Arabidopsis thaliana: one gene and its partners. The protein of the gene in region 2 interacts with the protein of the main gene of each other region in a pairwise test. Each region holds a gene or a part of one and is shown on either strand. Other genes may lie near its edges. The genes, in order: HB51, RAP2.9, bZIP52 and MYB1.

The links.
Region 1: the proteins of RAP2.9 (region 2) and HB51 interact in a two-hybrid assay, tested with the Arabidopsis thaliana proteins (one large-scale study listed by BioGRID).
Region 3: the proteins of RAP2.9 (region 2) and bZIP52 interact in a two-hybrid assay, tested with the Arabidopsis thaliana proteins (one large-scale study listed by BioGRID).
Region 4: the proteins of RAP2.9 (region 2) and MYB1 interact in a two-hybrid assay, tested with the Arabidopsis thaliana proteins (one large-scale study listed by BioGRID).

What each region holds. Positions count from the first base shown.
Region 1 is NC_003076.8:1,001,985-1,008,062, forward strand, and holds HB51 (homeobox 51), read left to right. Parts: upstream 1-2,797; 5' UTR 2,798-3,000; coding exon 3,001-3,118; intron 3,119-3,670; coding exon 3,671-4,026; coding exon of another isoform or gene 4,027-4,134; exon of another isoform or gene 4,135-4,155; coding exon 4,156-4,389; 3' UTR 4,390-4,647; downstream 4,648-6,078. Other genes in the region: AT5G03795 (Exostosin family protein), read right to left, coding at 5,570-6,078. UniProt on the Arabidopsis thaliana protein: Putative transcription factor.
Region 2 is NC_003075.7:4,072,058-4,076,932, forward strand, and holds RAP2.9 (uncharacterized protein), read right to left. Parts: upstream 2,679-4,875; 5' UTR 2,489-2,678; coding exon 2,036-2,488; 3' UTR 1,660-2,035; downstream 1-1,659. Other genes in the region: AT4G06744 (Leucine-rich repeat (LRR) family protein), read right to left, coding at 1-27.
Region 3 is NC_003070.9:2,102,227-2,107,951, forward strand, and holds bZIP52 (basic leucine-zipper 52), read left to right. Parts: upstream 1-2,821; 5' UTR 2,822-3,006; coding exon 3,007-3,467; intron 3,468-3,547; coding exon 3,548-3,680; coding exon of another isoform or gene 3,681-3,782; intron 3,783-3,791; coding exon 3,792-3,876; intron 3,877-3,957; coding exon 3,958-4,292; 3' UTR 4,293-4,523; downstream 4,524-5,725. Other genes in the region: AT1G06840 (Leucine-rich repeat protein kinase family protein), read right to left, coding at 40-183, 258-329, 427-498, 582-732, 871-982.
Region 4 is NC_003074.8:2,830,891-2,837,005, reverse strand, and holds MYB1 (myb domain protein 1), read right to left. Parts: upstream 3,661-6,115; 5' UTR 3,547-3,660; coding exon 3,213-3,546; intron 2,720-3,212; coding exon 1,872-2,719; 3' UTR 1,616-1,871; downstream 1-1,615. Other genes in the region: BSK9 (kinase with tetratricopeptide repeat domain-containing protein), read left to right, coding at 12-117, 203-288, 376-597, 680-826, 905-1,018, 1,108-1,338.

The DNA of each region.
Region 1 (6,078 bases), on a different chromosome or scaffold from region 2:
ATGGTGGTGTAATAAATCTTACTATCCCATTTATCTATGTGAGGGTGGTAATTAGTTTAACCCAACAAAACCCATCAAAAAAATAAAAAAGTAAATGTATAATTCACATTATATATTTCATATTCACATTAAGCAATTCTCAGTTATATCGTATATATAGCATAAATACTTGGAATTCAATTGTTATATAATATAAGTTCTTACTTCTAATTCCTTATAAAGTCCCTACATTTTACTATAATGTGACAAGTAAATTTAGCTCCTCCAAGAAGGGGGGACCTTTTTCTTGATTACCGATCTTAGTAACTGATGGATCTAAATGAAATCGTCTTTTTAATTTTATTTTTATTTTTGTCGTCTATATGAAATCGTGTATGTTATATAAAAACTAATGAAATCATTTGGGGAAAGTCTCAATTCTCAAAGAACAATAACAAAGGAATTTAGTTGTGAATTATACCTGTACATGTTGGATTCTCCTCAATATCTGAGTTTTTAGTTCTGGCTCTCCTCTTTTTTTTTTTTTTTTTTTTTTTTTTTTTTCTAATGCATGCATGGAGATGAGAGTGAGACTCTGCTAAAAGTTTTTATTCGGATATTATTTAATTTGTTTGACAGTATTAACAAAAGGCTTTTAACTTTTAAGATTCTGTGAAATCATTCATCATGAACCCAACTAATTACCTTCTGGTTCTTAACATTATCTACTACTCGAAGAGTTAATATATAACCCTATAACTTCATCACTAGCTCTATTCTAATAAAGATGTATACGAAATTATGAATAAATATTACATTATATATTTTCGTATGTGAATGTATAATTAAATACACAAAAAGTTAAAAGGATTAGTGGCGATAGGACAAAACGGATAAGAAAGAAATGGAATTTCAAGCTGAATGATGATTCTAAATGATTTTATGGGTCTTAATTTTAGTTTATTTCGAATACAAATCGGTCTTATTTCTCATTTAATCCAGACAAGGAAAACCATATATATATTGGCGTAACACGTAAACATTTAAAAGTTAAAAACACGTTATTTTTGGTCCATATCGAAGACTTTTTACGTAGGGTCTTAGCTAAAATAGTGAAATTTGCATATTATTTTTTTAAGAAAATAGAGTATGAAATGTTGTTATCAAACGGATCCTTTACAATGAATGCAATCATCGAAAAAAAACCATAAAAATATTCTTAAAAAAATTATACACTATGAAAACTGTGATGTCTCATCTCTTTCAAGGGTTTAGGCTTAAAAGCTTCCCTTTTCTCTTATACACTGTCGTTAGTTTTAAATCTCATTACTTATCATCAATCTGTTCAAACCCTATCTACTTTTAACATAGAAAAAGATTCCTTTCCTTCCCTCTCTACCCTTCTCTCTCCATCTCTTACACTATTTACACATCAACAATTTGTTAAGTAGCAATTGAATATGAGAGAGAGAGATATAGGGAGAGAGATTGTGTGTAGAACTGCAAGTTAATAAAGAATGTGGGGGTAAAGAGTACACAGTAGATGAAGACAATGAGACTTAGTTTTCAAACTTCTTCTTTGCTTTGGCTTTTATTGGTCATATCAGACTCTTTATTTATAGATGATCTACTTAGCTCTCTGTGTTGATTCTTAGCTTTCAAAGGTAGCTTTTGGCCTCACCCTATATACTCTATACAGGTTACTGCACATATACATTGGTATGGACTTGCCACTAGTGCCAAACCTTTTGCACATTAATTTTCACATATATATAAGTAGATTTAGATGGTGTATATATAAGACAAAACAATAACTGAAAATCTTAGGACCAAGAATGAAGGCATAACCAAAGAAGGGGGGAACCACATTGTCAGTTTTTATGGAGTTTTTGGGGGACCATTAGTTTCGTTTCACTCTTTCTCTTTCACTTATTTAAGCTTAACTTTGACAAATACGTACCCCCACCTATATTACTACACGAAATTACAATATATTTATATATAAAATCTCATCAATTTCTTTTCAACTACATTTATGTTTCCATGTTTATAAAATTCAGTCAATTAAGACGGTGGTTTAAATGTTAAAGGCCACAAGTAGATTTATGTGAATGTTAAAAAGTCCCAAGTTTAGAAATTCCGTCAAATATAATTAATCCATGCAGATTTTGATTTACCATTTATTGGTTTACACTAGATTTTCAAAAGGAATATTTGGTGCATTCACACAAGGCTCAAGATTGTTTGTTTTTTCTTCAAAAAATATGATATTATCAAAACCTCTAATTTTGTAGCAAAATCAATTTTATTTAAATCTAAAACATGTATTGTCTTGGTTGGTTCACATCATCTTGCAAACTCTGTAACACTATAAATTGTTACAATTTGTATGTTTATCGAAAAAGCGCAACGATAATATTGACATAAACAAGTAGATTAGGTGTCATGATAGTATATATATTATAAAAAAACTAATACGAAAGAAAAAACAGTTTCCCGAAAATAAATTAAAAATTCCAAGTTTGACCCTTGGACACAACAAAATATATCAACCTATATTAATGTTAGAGAGATGATGGATGATGATTGATGATGTGCAAATGAGACAAAATTATATCACACTTTCCTTTTCAATCTTTAAATTCCAAAACAAAAGGTACTGTTGGGTTGCTCCCTTATTAGGTGAAAAAAACCTCACACAACACAGACAATTTCACTCTGTCTCTTTCACTACACCTCTATATCTCCCTCTAGATACATATCCCTATTTATATATGTATTGTTTCGAACACTGCGTGCTCTCACACTTTGTTACACCTCCAAAAGACAAAGTACATAGAAGAAGAAACTTCTTGTCACGCCTCTCTTACCCCTTCCCTTGTGGTCCAATAAAACCCTAATTTTCTTTTCTTTCTTTTATCCATTGTATTAGATCCTATATCTTTCTTCCTTATAGACCATCTCTCATGTCTTCTTATATATATTAAGATATTCACAAGAACTACAAAAGAAAGAAAGGAGATGGAGTGGTCAACAACGAGCAACGTAGAAAACGTGAGAGTAGCTTTCATGCCACCGCCATGGCCGGAGTCTAGTTCCTTTAACTCGCTCCACAGCTTCAACTTTGATCCTTACGCAGGTATATTCACACACCATCGTACCAAGTCTGCATATGTTACATGCTTTCGTTTTTTTTACTTTTAGATGTGTTTAATTCCATATTTGACGAATTCATGAACTTTAAAACCTTATTTATCCCACTTGCAAATGTTCTCAAGAAGTTTTTTTTTTTCTGTGAATGATGTAAAGAATTTCAAATATGACGTCCCTAAACTTCATTCCAAATGTCAACTAAAACGTTACTTTTCTGATGAGAAGCTAAGATTTTCTTATCTTCAGTCTACAATATCTATAAATAAAGTTTCTTACTTTTTTCTTGGGATCCTACAAAAACAATTTCTTGGGATCCAAATGCAAAAAGGTAAAACGTCACTTTTGAAAAGTTGAGATTCGTTTATGGTATAGTTCACTCTAAGAAAAATGGTTGCGGACATAATTTTATTCTTCTTATACTTTTGGAAGTTTTTTTTTTTTTTTTTTTTTTTTCGTATAATGATTATATTGTTGCGCTTCTATGTTTAAATATTTCCTTTTATCCTTTCGGGGCGTTTGCTAAAATGTTTAACAGCAGGAAATTCATATACGCCTGGCGATACACAAACCGGACCGGTTATCTCTGTACCGGAATCAGAAAAGATCATGAATGCGTACCGATTTCCGAACAACAACAATGAGATGATAAAAAAGAAGAGACTAACGAGTGGACAATTAGCTTCACTTGAGCGAAGTTTTCAAGAAGAGATCAAATTAGATTCAGACAGGAAGGTGAAGCTGTCGAGAGAGCTCGGTCTGCAGCCACGTCAGATAGCAGTTTGGTTCCAAAACCGCCGTGCACGGTGGAAGGCGAAGCAGCTTGAGCAGTTGTACGACTCGCTTAGACAAGAGTACGACGTCGTTTCTAGGGAGAAACAAATGTTACACGATGAGGTTTGTGTATTATATTGCACAAAATTAAAATCATGGGATCTAATTACATATTATCGTTTTCTTAATTTATCCCTTAAAGTCTTGATTCTATCAGATTGCCCCCCTTAAAAAATTGGATTGGTGGTGCAGGTGAAGAAGCTGAGAGCTTTACTAAGAGACCAGGGTTTGATCAAGAAGCAAATCTCTGCCGGGACCATCAAAGTTTCCGGTGAGGAAGACACGGTGGAGATTTCATCGGTGGTGGTAGCTCATCCAAGAACGGAGAATATGAACGCAAATCAAATCACCGGAGGGAATCAAGTTTACGGTCAATACAACAATCCGATGCTGGTTGCTTCCTCTGGCTGGCCGTCATACCCCTGATAGATGTTGCTGATCTCAGAGAGAGGGAAAGAGAATGAGAGAACGAGAGAAAGAGAGAGAGAGAGATTGTGTCAAATAGAGCTTTAGACTAGGACTTTAGTAGTGTTATAGACTAAGACAAGCTTTCTCTCATTGTACGATCTTAAAACATAAATGGCACGTTCTTGGATGCGAGATTGAGTCTGAAAATTGTTGAGTTGGTTTTGTTGAACAACTATACTATGAACACTCAGAATTGGCGAATGTCCGAAACAAAACTAGCTATAAACCAAAATAATGACGAGAGTAAACGAGATTGTACAAATCTTGACACTGATGCTCAGCATTTTCCGCTTCCCTTCACCGAACTTGAGACCTCTTGACGCAAAAAAAAGCTGCTTAGGCTTTGTGTGTGTGTGTGTGTGTGTGTGTGTTGTAGCTTGGTAAAAAGCTAATCTTTATATGTACATGACTGTCTCCAGGTAAGCTTTGATTGAAGAAGGCTTTAGTTGTTAAATATTTAAGAACTTTACATTTCGAATCAGAGATCATAAAAATTGTAACCTTGACAGTATTCCAATAACTGTCTCATATTGATAAAACATCAGACGCAAAAGCCATAAAGTGATCAGAAGTAGTACGAAGCTGCCACTCCATTGTTTATATTTGGAACCGTCGTTGCTAGTTTGTTTGGGCCTAGTCAGGAGTTATTTTGGGCCTAACTAAGAGTCAGTGAATCTGAGCTTAAAGTTTGGTAAGATGTGTAACTTGTAATGGGCCAATCAAATTTTGAACCAATTTTAGTATTTTACAAACCAACTTCGAATAGCTGTCTTTAAACTGAAATATACTTGATCCTAAACATTGAACACATGTATAAGTAATAACTAAAATAATTCAATTGAAATTAATTAATTAACAGAGTATTAGTATATGAACACCAAAAAGTCGCCTAATTATATCGTCACAGTATTTCAGTGCACAAGCTATTTTTCTTCTTCGAATGTTCCTTGACGCCTGATTATTTGTAAACTTTTAAGTTAACATATTAAAATATGCAAATATAACTATTATTTGTTTATTACAAATTAATGAAGAAAAACGCCCAATTATAATTTTACACACACACACAAACAATCCCGGGACTTTTCAATTATTTTTCGTTACACACGCCAAACAAACAAAAAAAATCTGACAAAACTTAGACTTCACGAATCTTCACATTCAATCTCCTCACCCAAATCGAATGAAGAATCATATGAAACACATCAAACCTCTTAGCCGGAGAATTCACCTCAAAATGTCTCCTTACCTTCAACACTCTTCTGTACATCCTTAAGTACTGTCTCGGCGATATAGATGTCAATATCGTTTTCAAATTCGGTATGTCTTCCACTGAAACGATCACCGAGAACGATCTCCAGTTCAGTACATCGCTGAACGGAGGAACATATCCTGAGTTTATCAAAACCGGGACGCAACCCGAGTAGAGTGCCTCCACGATCCTCGGGCTCGCAACCTCATAACCGCTAGGACAAATGCAGAACTTGCTGTTCCGCATCATGTCAGAATAAGACGTTCCTCTAGGGAGATACTTGTGGACTCTAATGTCATTATCTTTGTTCTCCCAATGCTGGAGCAAGACTGGCCTTACCGGTCCGTGTACACCCCCTGCAAAGAAGGCGAGGATGGGACGGCTGGAAGGTGACG
Region 2 (4,875 bases):
AAGAGCCAAAAGCAAATGATTCATCATCTTTGCCACTGAACAAAGCTTTGTCGGCGATACAAGAGAAGTGGTAGTTTTAGTGTTTAGTGCCTTACTATTCTTTTGTTTTGTTTTTCTCTCTTTTTAGGTGGGTAGGTTTCTTGAGAGTATCATATCACTAGCCACTAGGTTTATGAAATTCAAAACGTTATAAAAATTGAGAAATCATTGGGAAGTAAAATACAAAATGATAACTCCCACTTTATATCAAAACCTGCCCAAGATTTTACATGTCACTTTCTCAAAACAAAGTATCAAACACATCTAATTTTTATAACATCAACGAATAAATATTATGCAACGGAATTTTGACATATCCCTTATAGTGTACTTAATTGATAATCATCTAGTTATGTTCATATTATGAATAAAACCTATTACAATTTTTTCATTTACTCTCCATCTTAAGTTTCATTCTGTTTTGCTTTTATAATTTTAAATTAACTTTAATATTTCACTTCTTAAAAAAGAATCATAATATGTTAAAATATATATATATATATATATATATATATATATATATATATATGAATAAGAATAGCATATTTAAAAAATATATATATAGTCTTTAAATTTTTTGCCAATTATTTTTTCTATTTGATCTTTTTTAAGGTTAATCATTTTCTTTCACATAAACAAGTGATAAACACTAGAGATCAAACTGTATTATGTATTTTAAAATTCATTTGTTTTATATATCGTACTATGATCTTTTGGTTCAAACAGAAATTTTGGGTTTGCAAATTGCGATGATCTATGTAACCTTGGGGTGGGCGTACAGTTTTTCGGTTTGATTTCGGTTCTTTTTTTTTTTACGATTTTACAGTTTTACCAAAACTATAACAATGTAAAAACCGTATGTAATTCGGTTTGGTTACGATTTGGTTTTTACGGTTTTACGGTTTCATAAATATTGAAACCATATGTAAACAATGTGTATCTTCGTTCGGTTTGGTTCCAGTTTAGGCCCGCTTTTCTTTTGATAATTTCATATTTTTACCAAGGATAAATAAATTTGATGATGCATAAATAAAAATAAACTTAAAATAAAAATACTATATCAACCAATAAGTAAAATGTAATGGATTTTTTTCTTATATAATTATTTGTTATTTTCTAAAATTACTAAAAGGACAATAATACTAAGCCTGGTGAAATTAATTTTAATAAACAAAAAAGCAAAAAAAAACATTCGGTTTTACGTTTTTTTAACCAAACCAAACCTAAATCGAAATCTTAATAAAATTATAAATGGATTTTTATATAAAACTATAACCAAACCAAACTATTTATTTCGTTTCTATATGGTTCGGTTTTCGGTTTTTGGCTTTTTTCCCACCTGATCGAACCGACAAGAAGTTAATTGTTGGGAGATTAAACTTTGCCAAGAAAGGAATTTTAAGTGCCTCGGAGAGCATCTAAATTAACTTTGCCAACAAACATTTTTCTTTTAATAATTAAACAAGCTAAGCCCAGAATAGGCCTAAAGGCTAAAGGGATTGAACCTTTTTGAATCGTTTATTTCACAAAAGTTTTCGATAAACGGATCACATAATTAAATTTACATCACATGCCCGTTTAGGCCACCAGCTATGGGCCCATGCAAATCCAATTTGGTATCTCATGGATAAAACCCCAATCAATATGTGGAGCTGCCTTTGCTGTTCCATTAGAAGACAAGACTTTACGGTCATGAAACGAAGACAATGGTTTCACTTCTCCCTATTCTAACAAAGTCGGGAAGACAGTTTCATACAACTGTTACACATCATTGGTTATAACAAACCAAATTGTACTTAATCATCCGTTATAATCATTGGTTCTTAGCATTTGTTTCGTTATTTGTTTGTTTTTTCAGGATCCATGTTATGACATAATTACTATGCTCAAAACAAAAATTACTATATTAACTATATTATGCCTCATATGAGTCAGAGAACCTCTGTTTGACTCTGTCTCCGGGCAATCTCCAACCTATAAACTACCAAACTATAAATTACAATCCATATGCCTCCGGCAACTTATTCATGTCTAAGTTCTCAACCATCCTATTCTCTAACCGCAACTCTGCGTCGACTCTAGCTCCCACCTCAGCCGCCTTCTTCCGTATCAACGTCGGAGACATATCTCCTCCTAAGCCTTCACCGCCGTTTCCATCCTTAAAGACCTCTTCAGGGAAATTGAGTCTCGCCGAAGGACCACGTAAGTAAAACACAGCGGTATCGTAGGCCCGTGCCGCGGCAACGGCGGTTTTGTATGAACCAAGCCAGATCCGTGATCGTTTATTAGGCTCTCTTATCTCAGCCACCCACTTGCCCCACTTCCTCATCCTTATTCCTTTGTATCGCTTCTCATTAGAGCTTATGAGATTCCTCTTTGGCTTCTCGGTCATGACCATTCCTTCTTTCACCATAGGAAACTCTTGTTTTCGTTTGTATTGAATCACCATCAAACCCTAACCAAACGTGACATGTCTACGTGTGTAATATATAAAGAGAGGATTACATGAGGGAGAAGATATGTGTCACGTTAGGCGGCTAGAGATATGCGTTATGTGGCTGCGCCGTCACTTTTTTCTTTCCCAAATTTTTTATATTAATTAAAATTAAAATATAGCCGACATAGACAAGAACCGCCTCTCTTTCCAATTTTACTATTGAACCTAAGAACTCTTGTTTGACTTTTAGTGTTGAAGACATCTGACTGTTTGGCAGTGCGGTTTAATAAACGGCTGAGAAAGTCTCTGTGAAGGCTGTCGACATTTGGACACCCGACGTGGCAGCACATTCTTTAGGCTACCACAATGCAACACATTGTATTCTATCAGTTTTGTCTTAACTATATAAATATATTAGGTCCGAACATAATTTTTTAATAACATTTACAGCAATTCACATATTTATATATCTATTTTTGTAATATTTTTCCATTTTTATATATATTTACAAAGAATATTATTAGCATTAAATGTTTTTTTTTTTTAAATATTTAATTTTACTTTCAATTTTTGATTTAAAATATCAATCACATTATCATTCAAATTTAATCCAAACAACAAACTTCAAATCAATTTTTTAAAATTAGCTACACATAATCGTACACAACAATCTAAAACAACTTAGAAGATATTTATTTCTAAAACATTTTCAAGTAAAATATTTGAAATTAATCAAACTTTCCAAAATCAAACTCAATTCAAGAATTTAAAGCAAGATTTACGCTAACAACATTTTCCCCAAATTTCTCCGTATTGACTCCACTAATTTTATTCAAATTTTACATACAAAATTCCAAATCTCATTTACTAACTACAAATTTGTATTTGCGATAATATTACTATCCACATATAAAACACTTCTCCAATTAGATTCATTCTGAGATTTTGTATTATATGTGACGAGATGTTTATTAATTTTAAACACTCTGCATTAACTAAAATAATTCTTTCCTTCAATATACCTAAAAAAATTTAGATTATGAAGATAAATTAAATACTCGAATACACGATTGATCCTAACATATTCCGATCATAAACTAATCAAAATAATTTGTTCCCTAAAATCTTGCATGATATTATATTTTTTCGATCGGTTGCTATGTATTAATGAAACCTATCTAGCTTTCCTATAAATACTATACACATAAATCTCATTTCCCATCACTAAACACAAATATCACAAACGTATTACTTTAGATTGGATTCATGTCTCTTTCCTTTTAGAAAGAGAAGCAAAGTTTGAAGAGAAAAAACATTCACAAGACAGGAAGATGACAAACAATTTAACAGAAAAGTAGTGTGGGGATTTTTTTTTTTTTTTTTAAATACCAATGTGATATATTTTGTATAGTTTTGCATAACATGAATATTCATAACATCGTCACGAAAATACCAATATTATTTCTTTTGTCTTTTCATTTTTTCATATTATTTTTATTTTATTTTTCAAATTATGTTTTATAGTTGGGATGTTCTTGGTAATTCTTGATCATTTTAAAAATATGTTAAGAAGAACAGATTTAGTATTTAGATATATTTAAGAAGAACATATATACAATGTCTTTTAAATAAAAGTATTATTTTAAAAAATAAATAATAATTTTTAATTTCATGGGACAGAGTATTATAATAGGACGGGGTTGGTCGATATTAAAACGAGATTGTACACTACGGGTGAGAGCCTAGAACTAACATTTAAAATAAAATTACAGATATAATTTAAAACATATAACAAAACAAACTATCTTAACAAAATATATCTAATTTAAAATTTAAGTTATAAAAAATCGACTTATGGTGTACCGCATGACAAAATCAAGGGATTGTACACAAATAATATATAGAAATTGGGGTTGTATATTTATAAAATACAAAACAGTATATTACATATAGATAATATATAAACAAATTAAACTTTTAGTTTTTATTAAAAAAATAGTCTCTTAGTGTACCGCAGGTTAAAAATATAGTATCCTATTAGTGAATAAAAAGAAATTCTATATATTATATCTCATTATTTTATTTTATTTTGATGATATTTAGTTTTTAAATAGTAATCCACACTTTTTCAGTATCTAGTATTCTAACTTTTTATTTATTTATCTATTTTTGAATAAATAATGACTTAAGTTATTTTTATTGTTCACTATATAACTACTATTATATGACATAATTTAATATTATTAAAATAGTCCTTAATATTTTACTTAAACAAAACTATATTTAGTTTTCATTTGTCTCCAACACTAATGAGTTTTTCTATTATAATCTTTATCTATGCATTTTACCATTTTATTTGTTTTGTTGACATCTATATTTTAAAGTTATCTTAATAAAAC
Region 3 (5,725 bases), on a different chromosome or scaffold from region 2:
ACAGCCAAGTACAACTCGACACCAGATTAAAGAACTCACAAGTGCTTCGTTTTGTTTAAGTTTGCAAAAGATTTGGGAAGTGGTCCTGATATACGGTTTTCATCAATCTGTATTCTGTCCAAGTTTGGAAGAAACCCTAGCTCCTCTGGTAAGTTTCCATTTAACAGATTTCCATTCAGGAGCCTGGAAAAGTGAAGTTAGCAGCCAATCCCAAAGCAAATAAAGCAGGGAAGTAAACAACAAAGTCCTGGACTAACAAGAGTTCTAAGGACTTGATATTCCCAATTTCCTTTGGTATACTTCCGGTGATCTTATTCCACATGAAACTCCTGGCATTAGAGAAGAAGTTGTACAATACAAAAAGAAAGTTATTCACCATTGAGTATGACAAAAGATCAAGCAACATATCGTGTTAAAAACACGTACAGGATAGTAAGACGAGACAACCGGCCAAGCTCCGGAGACAAGTTCCCTGAGAGATTCATACTGAACAATTGCCTACAAGTATAAACAAAGCTAACTCAAACAAATCTCAAGGAAGACCAAATAAAAGAAAAAAGCAAGAGTGAAGAAGACAATACAATTCGCTGACATGAAGATAACCATCATCAAGAGTGGAGTTGAAGCAGACAACACCAGTCCAATTCGAATTGCACGGGTCTCCATGCTTCCAATTTCTCAATCTATGAACAGGATCGTTCAAACTTTCTTTGATCACTCGCAAAGCCCTCACTAAAACCAAAAAAAACATCAATGATCAGTACCAAATCAGTCGAAAGCTAAGAAAACCCATTGTCACAGACACAAATTGTCTGAAGATCTAACACCAAAGACAAAGCCTTTTAACAACAACAACAACAAAAAAGAAACCTTCAACGGGATTGGTGATGTCGTCTTGAGCAAAAGTAGAAGAAAAGCAACAGAAGAGGAAGAAGAAGAGCAGAGGTATGAGGAGACGAGAGACATGATGGGTCGAAAACATATCGAGAGAGGAGGAAACAGAGGAGACCCAAGGAAAAAACGAAATCTCGAGAGAGAGAGAGTTTAGAAGGAAAAGGCCATGACCAAGTAAGAAACACAAGACAAAGAAAGAGGAAAGTAGTTGGTATTGGGTGGGAGCATTGAAGAGTGATAATACGACATTTTCTAAGTTTGACTATTTCAGGTAATGGATGAGACCGACGGAAGAGCGTCATCATAAGTTTCCGTTGCGCCGCCGCCATAACTTCACCACCTTCTTCCGTCAAAACCATTCTACTTGCTATTTTTCTTCCTTTGTTTAATGATTCCTTGTCTGACCTGTCTTTGACCTTTTTGTCGTTTTTTTAATCCTTTTTTAATGACAGTAGGTAAATCTCTTGCCAGGTGCGATGAATTTCCAAATATTGTCAATAAAGTTACCTTTTTATCCCACCTTGATTTTTTTTTTATGTATTAATTAAAATTTAAAAACGTATACCATTAGCAAATAGTAGCAATCATTGGTATATTGGAATCATATAGTATATGGCAATTTGGTCATCGATATCGTATCTTTATGTGCATTTTGGCCCCCACGATACTAAAAGTCACGAAATTTTCCAAAGTATCGACTTTTATTGGAAAATGGTGCTGATTATCAACTGATTTGTAGAAGTGTGATTAATTACCTGTAGTCATTATGATTTTCTTGAACAAAAAAAGAAGAAACAGAAGATGTATGTCACTATGTCGTATCATTACGAGAGGGAAAAAAAAGAAACAGCTGGAATAAATTACTCAAATAAGAAAAGAAATACAATGGGCACTATTAAAAAGCATAGACATGAGCTATATATTATTTATGTTTAGAGAAGAACTTTCCAACAGAATTTGGTTTTAAAAAATACCCGTTAGGTGACAATAAATGGGAGAAACTATATCTTAAGTATGTTCATTATTTATATATAAAAAAAGGGAGAATCACAATTCACAAGTATGTTGATAAATAATAATAAAACAAAAAAAAAAAAGACAAAAGAAACTTTAGCTGGTAAAAGTAAGCATCATTAGGTTTTTAATTTGAATCACTATTAAATGATGCCGGTCCACTACTTGCGTTTAAGACAATTTAGAGAGACTTAACTAAAAAACTTATTACTTAAAGCGATCAATACGACCATCTTTTTAATTATTTTGACCGGTAAACAAAGTGATGCCCAATTGCCAATTTAAGAGAAGGCCCAAAACATCCTCCTGTCCACTACAGGCGCATTATATGCTCGAGGATTTCTTAAAACAAAACAATACTTGTCTTCTTGTATGGGCCTGATAATTAAGGCCTCCGTATGATTTAGATCCAACCAATAAGTATTTTTCACTATAAGTGAATTTTACTTGTTTCCCAATCCATAGATAGTTCCATACCAAGTTACCAACTTATTATCCCACAAAACATTCTCTCAGACTCTCAGTTCATACAAGGCTTTCTGCCTATTTTTTACTTGTTAAAATTTTGACTCAAAGATACAAAAATATACACTCAGACGTGGGGAGATGTAATGCCATAACAGCTTAAATTAATAAATTTCGTTGAAGCAACTACAGAATCTTGTAATGAATGCTACAAAGAAGATTTAAAGTTAAACAAATTTAAATCATGAAATCGAATAATTAAATAAAATACAAAGAAAAAGGAAAAAAAAATAAAAAAAAAAGGGAGGGAGACAAGATGCTGCGATGGTTCACGTGCCAATGTGCCTTTTACTTTTCATCAACTAGTTTTCTTTTTAATTATTAATAAATCAACTCAATTTCGCAATTTTATAGTTAGTGACGTCACTTCTCTCTCCTCACAGAGTCGAGTTTCTCTCCTACGCTCTTCATTTCATTTCATTTGATAGAGAGAGAGAGAGAGAGAGAGAGAGAGAAAGAGCTTCGTCTTCTTCATCTCCATCATTATCTCCATTGACATTGTTCTCAATTGCGAATAATAATCATAATTATTCACACAACCAAAGCATTCATCTCTCAGATTCTCTTAAAAAAATGGAGAAATCAGATCCTCCACCAGTCCCAAAGCCCGGCGCCACTATTATCCCCTCCTCCGATCCAATTCCTAATGCCGATCCGATTCCATCTTCTTCCTTCCACCGCCGATCTCGCTCCGACGATATGTCCATGTTCATGTTCATGGATCCCCTCTCCTCCGCCGCACCACCTTCCTCCGACGACCTTCCCTCCGACGACGATCTCTTCTCTTCTTTCATCGATGTCGATAGCCTCACCTCTAATCCCAATCCCTTTCAAAATCCTTCCCTCTCCTCCAACTCCGTTTCCGGCGCTGCTAATCCTCCTCCTCCTCCTTCCTCTCGTCCTCGCCACCGTCACAGCAATTCCGTTGACGCTGGATGCGCCATGTATGCCGGTGATATCATGGACGCTAAGAAAGCTATGCCTCCTGAAAAACTCTCTGAGCTTTGGAACATCGATCCCAAACGCGCCAAAAGGTCCTTCTTCTTCTTCTTCAAATTTGTTTCTCTTTCCACAGAATTGAAGAATTGCAATGAAATTAGGGATTTGATTACAGGATTCTAGCGAATCGACAATCTGCAGCTCGATCCAAAGAGAGAAAAGCTCGATACATTCAAGAACTTGAGCGCAAAGTTCAATCTCTTCAAACCGAAGCTACCACTCTCTCTGCTCAGCTTACTCTCTACCAGGTTTCCATATTCGGCGATTCCTCGTTTGATCCCAACAGAATAGGAAAGTTCTTTCCTCTGTTTTACATACATAGACAGATCTTGATTTCAATGTTGTTTTGATTGATCCAGAGAGACACAAATGGACTAGCAAACGAAAACACAGAGCTGAAACTTAGGTTGCAAGCAATGGAACAACAAGCTCAGCTTCGTAATGGTAAGCACAAAAAAAAAAGAAGCTAATTTCTTTGTATGCATTTTGGTGCATTTCTTCAATATTTGCTTTTTGATGTTACAGCTTTAAACGAAGCGTTGAGGAAAGAAGTTGAAAGGATGAAGATGGAGACAGGAGAAATCTCTGGTAATTCAGATTCGTTTGATATGGGAATGCAGCAGATTCAGTATTCTTCCTCAACTTTCATGGCTATTCCACCATATCATGGCTCAATGAACCTCCATGATATGCAGATGCATTCTAGTTTCAATCCTATGGAGATGTCCAATTCTCAAAGCGTGTCGGACTTTCTACAGAACGGCCGAATGCAAGGGCTGGAGATTAGTAGCAATAGCTCAAGCTTAGTCAAATCTGAAGGACCTTCTCTCTCTGCTAGTGAGAGTAGCTCTGCCTATTGACGACAAGATTATGATGAGGCTCATTTTTCTGTTAATAGGTTTTTTTTTTTTTCAATTCATTTGATTCACTTTTGATTATTTATTCTTTCTTTTTTTTGAGGTGCCATTGTGCAAGAAAGGACGTACGTATACATTTGTGTTGGTTATGTGTCGTGAGTTTCGTTGTTTGCTATTCCCATTGTTTGTTCTTCAAGGAACAAAGGAGACTAATAAATTTCATTTTTCTTTTGTATACAATGATGTTTGCTACGTTTTGTTTTATTTTACTAGGAGATGGAGATGTTTAATAAGTTCATTCCAATTGGGTTAATAGTTTGATTTTGGGATCAATGATTTTGATACGACAACACCAAGGCAGTTCCTCAGTAGCTTCTTCTCCAAGACACCCTCACATCCGTCATCCCATTAGAGTTTTGAGACAACTTCTCCCAACCGGACTTCTCCATGAGACAAAATTTCCCAAACTTGGAGTCGGAGTTGAAATGAGAGACGAAGCATTGAGAGATTAGTTTTTGAGACTCTGTAAGACTGTTAACGAAAATATTCGACCTTTGAAAGACATCTAACACGATTCAACCTTTAAGCAAAGACCCATTGTTGGAGAGAACCAACAAAAGTTCCAACCTTTCCAAACTGAGCTAGCAAGAACAATAGAACATGCATAACAATAAGAACGTGGAGAGTTTAGAACATTGTTACCATGTTATCAGACGAAACATCTACTCTCTGGACTGTGGACGTCCTTGGAGAAGCTCGGTCTATTTCGCAAAATAACTTCCAAAAAAAAAAGGAGAGAGCTCAGAATGGGGCAATATCAACTGATATTCAGTAGAATGCATTGGACCCAACCAATGCTAAAGCCAATTTCTTCACAGCTCATGCACCAGCCGGGAATCGAACCCGGGTCTGTACCGTGGCAGGGTACTATTCTACCACTAGACCACTGGTGCTTTGATGACAATTGTTTTGTTTTAATATCTGATATACAATAAAACCACATTTAAACCAATAGGCCCTATTTGATGGCGATACGTAATTTTATTTTTTGGGCTTTTTCATCTTTTGCCAGTGGGAATTTGTGAATTGTGAGTGTTTGTTTCTAACTTTCTATGAAATCGAAATTTGAGAAAATTGTGAGAAATTCAAGAGAATACATGTAAACTAGGGTTCAACAAGTAAATTGCCCCCACAAAACTATGCCAAAAAATGAAAAAACAAAACAAAACATGCCGATAGACAAATTCTAATCCGTATGAAGCCTCGATGTATCTTGAGCACAATATAAATATTTGATTAAATAGAAGCATTTGGGAAGACAACGAGAGATTAGTGTTTGGCTAAAAGAAAAAAAAACGAAACAGAATCCATTTTGTTAATTAGGTTGTGGTCAAACTCAACCCAACTAAGTTAACGACTAATTATTTAAAGATAAT
Region 4 (6,115 bases), on a different chromosome or scaffold from region 2:
TGATGGAACAGGTTGGGAATCCTAGGCTGTCTTGTTTTGGTCTCATGAAGTGTAGCCGAGAGGGAAAGAGCTATAGTACCAACTTGGCATTTGCTCCTCCTGAATATTTACGTCTAGGTATGTGTTTTATGTTTAATTTTCTTGAGAGAAAACTTCATCAGCTGAAATCTCAAAGATGTTTTTCTTTTACTTTTATTGTTAGGTACTGTGATACCGGAGAGTGTCACATTTAGCTTCGGAACCTTGTTACTGGATCTTATGAGCGGCAGACATATTCCACCAAACCATGTAACTTTCTTCTCACAAAGCAAAATGTGTATATACATAATGTATCTTTAGCAGTTTCATTGATTTTTAGCTTATCTGTCATTTCAGGCACTTGATCTGTTCCGTGGTAAAAACTATTTGGTGCTAATGGATTCAGCTCTGGATGGTCAATTCTCTGATGAGGATAGAACAGAACTTATCCATCTAGCTTCCCGCTGTTTGCGCCCTGAACCAGACGAGAGGCCAAGCATAAAGTTTCTTATGTCAGCTCTTTCAAGACTTGAGAAAAGAGCTGAGTTATGGCCCAACGTCAAAGAAGAAAACATCCCTGTAAGTCATTACTACATTAAATCTTCCAAGGTTTCGGGTTCTGCAGGCTTTCTTATGTGTACATGGGACTTAATAATGACAGACTCCATCATACACTGAACCTGCAACAAAGGAGCCATTGCCCTTGACCCCTTTCGGAGAAGCATGCTGGAGAGTGGATCTAAGTGGTATGCACGAACTACTCGAGAAACTCGGGTATGGAGAGGATGATGTGGTGGTCACAAATGAGGTACATTATATTTTTGAGAAACATATCTCTTTTGACACATCTCAATATCTCATCATGAGGAAAAAAATATTGCTGCAGTTCTCATTCCAAATGTGGACGGGTCAAATGCAAGAGAATATGGATTACAAGAAGCACGGAGATGCCGCATTTCGTGCTAAAGATTTTGAAACCGCAATCGAATTCTACACAGAGGTATCATTTTGAATCATCAAGAAACCGTCATCTTTTACCAGCAGAAAATACAATAGATATAGATATATGAATTTTTTCCGTATGTACAGTTCATGAGTGGAGCACCAGTGGTATCACCAACAGTATTAGCCAGACGGTGTCTATGTTACCTAATGAGTGATATGTTCCGCGAGGCTCTAAGTGATGCGATGCAAACTCAGGTCGCATCGCCAGAGTTTTCGATCGCTCTCTACTTACAAGCAGCTTGTCTTTTAAAGCTTGGGATGGAGGCTGAAGCTAAAGAAGCTCTTAGACATGGCTCTTCTCTCGAAGCTTTTTAGAGTTACTACGACGACAACAAAAAAGCCAGATTTGTACAGCTTCTTTCTCTGCATAAGTATGTAGAAATGTGAATATACACATAGCACATATACATGTTTGCTTCTTTGACTTGGTTTGAGAGAATCTTGGTGAACCATCAGTTTTTTGTGTGCTAAAACCGGATTTTCTTGCCGTTTTCCCTTGATCTTAACTGGATTGTGGTTTTTGTTACTACACATTCACACTAATTAGTAGTGTTATGACATTGATCATCATCGTCAGATTGTTGTCAAGGCATGTTGCAAAGTGAAACAACCATTATGATATGTTAATGCAGACGCCATACAAGTCACAAAGAAAGTTGAAGACACTGTGGTCTCTACTCGATTTCAGAACTATAAAATCTATCTCTACTCAATTACATCACAACTTTGATTACAAGTAAAACTCAAGCTCTCCGAGATCAAGAGTAAATAAAAATAAATGTAAAGAAATCTCAAAAAAGAAAGAAAAATAAAAAATCTCAGAGACTCTGTTTTTGTTCTCCCAGTTTTTATGTGGACAGGACATTGGTTATGTTCGTCCCCTGTTCAGATACAAGATAATGATCTCGATGACCCCTGGAGCCTTGAGGCCTTAACCGACCAACTGCGTCTTCCATCACCCTCACGCTGCTACTCTCTAAACCGCTTCTCAGCCAAGCGAGGCTGCCTATTTCCGTTGCTATAGCAGCTAGTTCGGAACTCGGAAACGTTGGTGAGTCTAAGTAATCCACAAACTCTGGACCCAACAATGATTCTTGCTGAAAACTGCCATCGGGATTGTTGCTGCAACAACCACCTCCACATGTTTGAGGCACAAACCGTTCGCTGTAAGCTCCTTCAAGCAATCTTAGCATTGCTGCGTCTTGTTTAGATGATTGGAGCTGATTTTGGTCTTGTATATGTGGAGAGGGTGATCCTTCCATGTGATTGCAAGCATTAAAAGAACTGAGCCGAGGCACTGGGCGGAAAAGCGTTGGAGGATCCTTATCATCTTGCCTAGAAATACCTTCTCCGTTTGTTTTCTCTACGCATTGTTCTTCAGACATTTCCATGGAGGTGGTAGCTTCTTTGCCTTCTGGAGATACAATTGGAGTAGTTACATGGCAACCACCGCCTGAAGATAAAGTTTCTTCTGATGAGGCTACTGTTGTCGTTCTGTCAAATCCAGAATCATCCACGACCAAGCTTCCAGTTCCTATATTCTTGGCCTTTTCAAAGTCTATGAATCGACGTCTTAAAGCAGAGTTCCAGTGGTTCTTGATAGCATTATCTGTTCTTCCGGGGAGGAGCTTCGCGATAACAGCCCATTTGTTTCCGTGGATGGCATGTGCTGCGATGATAGCCTGATCCTCTACCTCTTCATAAACCAAAACAAAAACAAAAAGAGAGACAAAGAAGTGCCTGGTTTAGTGTTACTGATGATATGTTACAGAACAAGAACACAATAATCTACTAATGTCCCCCTAAATAAAACTGTGTTTCGATCAGCTATAACAATACAACTAGAGGTAGTCAAATGGTATCCAACCTAACTTTGTTGTTCTTTTGGGATTCAAGGAGTAGATCAAAATCCAAAAAAACTTGCAAGTCTCAAACTTTAAAACATTTCGATACAAACTAAAAATATAAAACTAGAAATGGACTAACAATCTCTCAGCCAAGTTCACATTTCACATCCATTTCACAAAAAAACACAAGGTTGCTCAACAGCCACACTCCGAAAGACAGCATAAGAACCCTAGATTCCTCAATTCAACACAGATGAATCAAAACTCAAAAAAAAAAGAGAAGATCACAGGAAAAATGGAATCACCAATTGAAATTGAATACTTTCAAAAGAGAGAAAATACCAGTAAATGAATTGCGTATAAGATTTGGATTGAGCTGATTACACCAACGAAGACGACAAGACTTGCCTGAACGACCAGGAATACTCCGAGCGATAAAACTCCAATTCCTCGCTCCCAACCTCTTAACGAGCTCACTCAACACATCATCCTCCTCCTTCGACCACGGCCCTTTAACTCGATCTCTTCTTCCTCTCCCGCTCGTCCCAACGAACCCTGCCGCATCTTCTCCCACATCGCCGCCATCACCATCGCAATCTCCTCTACCAATTGACGATTCTTCCACCTCCCTTCTTAATCCCGTTACCTCCGATCGTCTCACGATCTCTGCCTCCATAAGCTTCCCTTCTCTCTCTCTCTCTCACCTACCGGATTTAACTGTAAAAGCGTTGAGTCTCGTTGAGGTCGCGTGAACACACTCGCTCTTTCGACTAGATTCGTAGGGCTTGTGTTTCGGGGGATCTTTTATTCCTTTTAATTACTATTTTGCCCTTATAATTGCCATTTACTTTGTTACCCTTAATCGTTATCCTCTGTCTTAACTTTTGGTCAACCTTTTTTGGGGGATATTTAGGTAAATCACTTAAAACGGAAGATCTTCGGAAGTTGATGACTTTCTTCTATGGCGGGAAATTCATTACCGGTGGACTAAGTACTTTTATTGGGCCTATTTAAGCCCATTATTCACCATATCAGGCCTCTTCATGACCCATTCAATGGATAATGAAAACTGAAAGTGAAAAGTAAACTTATTTCTCTACCCAAGAAAGCTAACCTAGAAATCCATTTTTTTTTATTTTTTTTGTCGTAACCTAGAAATCCATTTTAGACTTCTGATTTATCACTCACCGTTAATTTTCTTCACTAGTAAATAACAAAATAATATTGTTTCACGTTAATGAGATAATATTGTCTCATCTTTCATTATTTTGTTTTTTTATCAAACCACATTTTAAGATGGTTACAATTTTTTTTAATTTTTTTTGGGTTTTAAATACTAGGTTAAATCCGGTGCTAATTTAATATAAAATTTAAAGTAGGATTTGATTTATATTAGATTCTAAGAAATTTTGAAGTATTTTCAATCTATAAATACAAATGATAAAATAGTAAATGCGGAAGTAAGCTTTGTTATTTTGACCAAATTTCAAAATACTAATGCTTTTTTGGGTAAATTAAAATCTAATTAATGTTTAAACGTTTGAATTATAGAAAGAATTCTACATCCTAAATGGGTTTCTAAGTCAACTCACAAACCATGTTTAAAAATTCAGTTTGCCCAACTAAAATTGAAATTTCATGAGAAAGTATGCAAGATCCTGGAGTTGATTGAGTTTAAGTAGTCTTTAAAATTTGAAAAGTCAATGAGAATCCATATTCGCGTATGAAATGAGATGGCGAAAGGCCGAAAGCTAATAAAGAAAGCTCATGATCAGACCAATGCTTGCACATACAGTAAACAGTCAGATTATTGTTAATAGAGAACGACCTTTGCCTGACCACAAATCTTTAGATTTGAATAAAACGATTTTTCAAATTATGGCAAGAACGTTCGTTTTACAATGTACATAAAATACATTATTAACCTAAAATTTAATTGACCAGATATGTAGAACCTATCTTTACAATAATCAAGTATGTACATATAAAGTTACATGTCCACTGACGTCGTAGAAGAATGATTAACTGGATCAACTAGGCCGGTCAAGAGAAAACAGTTGTCGCATCCAATATTACAAATATTCATGCAGAGATATATTATGTGAAACGTATATAGAAAATATATCTAGTTATCTACACAAAAAATACATGCAACACGTTTCTCGAAGATATTGTAAAGTTGACTTGGATGCTTTCAAGTTTCAACTTGAACATATGGACCGTTTCTATGCACGTACGTATCAAAATTCTTCATTATATATATATAAAAATGTATTAAAGTAAACAAATTAATATGATAGTGGGGAACTTTTTATAAGAAATAATTGATCAATAGTTGAAAGAATAATTTCACAATACAACAACTGTCATATATTCTGAGACAAAATCCATTGGCCTGTGTCTGGAGTGCGTCGCATGTATTGCTTTTGCATTTAAATCAAGTCTAAAGCAAATTTTTGGATTCGTTGATTCCTTAATTTTATCGAATTCGATCAACTTTTAAGTACGTATACTACGATCTCTTATGATTCTTGGATATCTTTTCACTTTTAAATTCTGAGAACAGTAGCAATGAAAAATAATTTGACCATTGGTTTCTTTAGTTTCTACCTTTTCAATGTTTAAATTAAGATTTGGATTACTTTGATATTGAATTCATCGATCTTTGGGAAGGATTTTGCAAATTCAGAAATGTTCAGTTTTATTATAAATCTGTCACTAAAATTGTGGTTGTTACTTAGATATCAAATTAGATAAGTAGTTGTCTATATTGGACTTGTAATACGAATTATATTGAATTGAGGTTGTTTGTGTTGAGAAGCAAAAAATTTGATGACTTTTGTTATTATTTACGAAAAAAGTATAAACTAAAATAATAAAGGGAGTAATCAACTGTTAGAAATTTAGACAACGATGTCTCTACTAACAGATTGAAAATACTTATTATGGGCATAGCTTCGCTAGCAAGAAATGTTTCAATATCTACAAAAATACACGTAGACAAATATTTAGACACAATTGATTATGTTAGAGAACAGTGGTCGTCTGGTCGATGTACATATAGCAATCCATTAACTCCGATTCTAATATTTCTTGACTAATTATTTCGAAATTGTGCAACAAAAAAATCATAAACAAGTTTTAAGAAGCTTACATTAAAATGAATAATTAACTATACATTTCTTGTTTAAATTACACACTAGCTATTAATAATTGTAAGGGATTTTTTCTGTATAGAAAAGGTA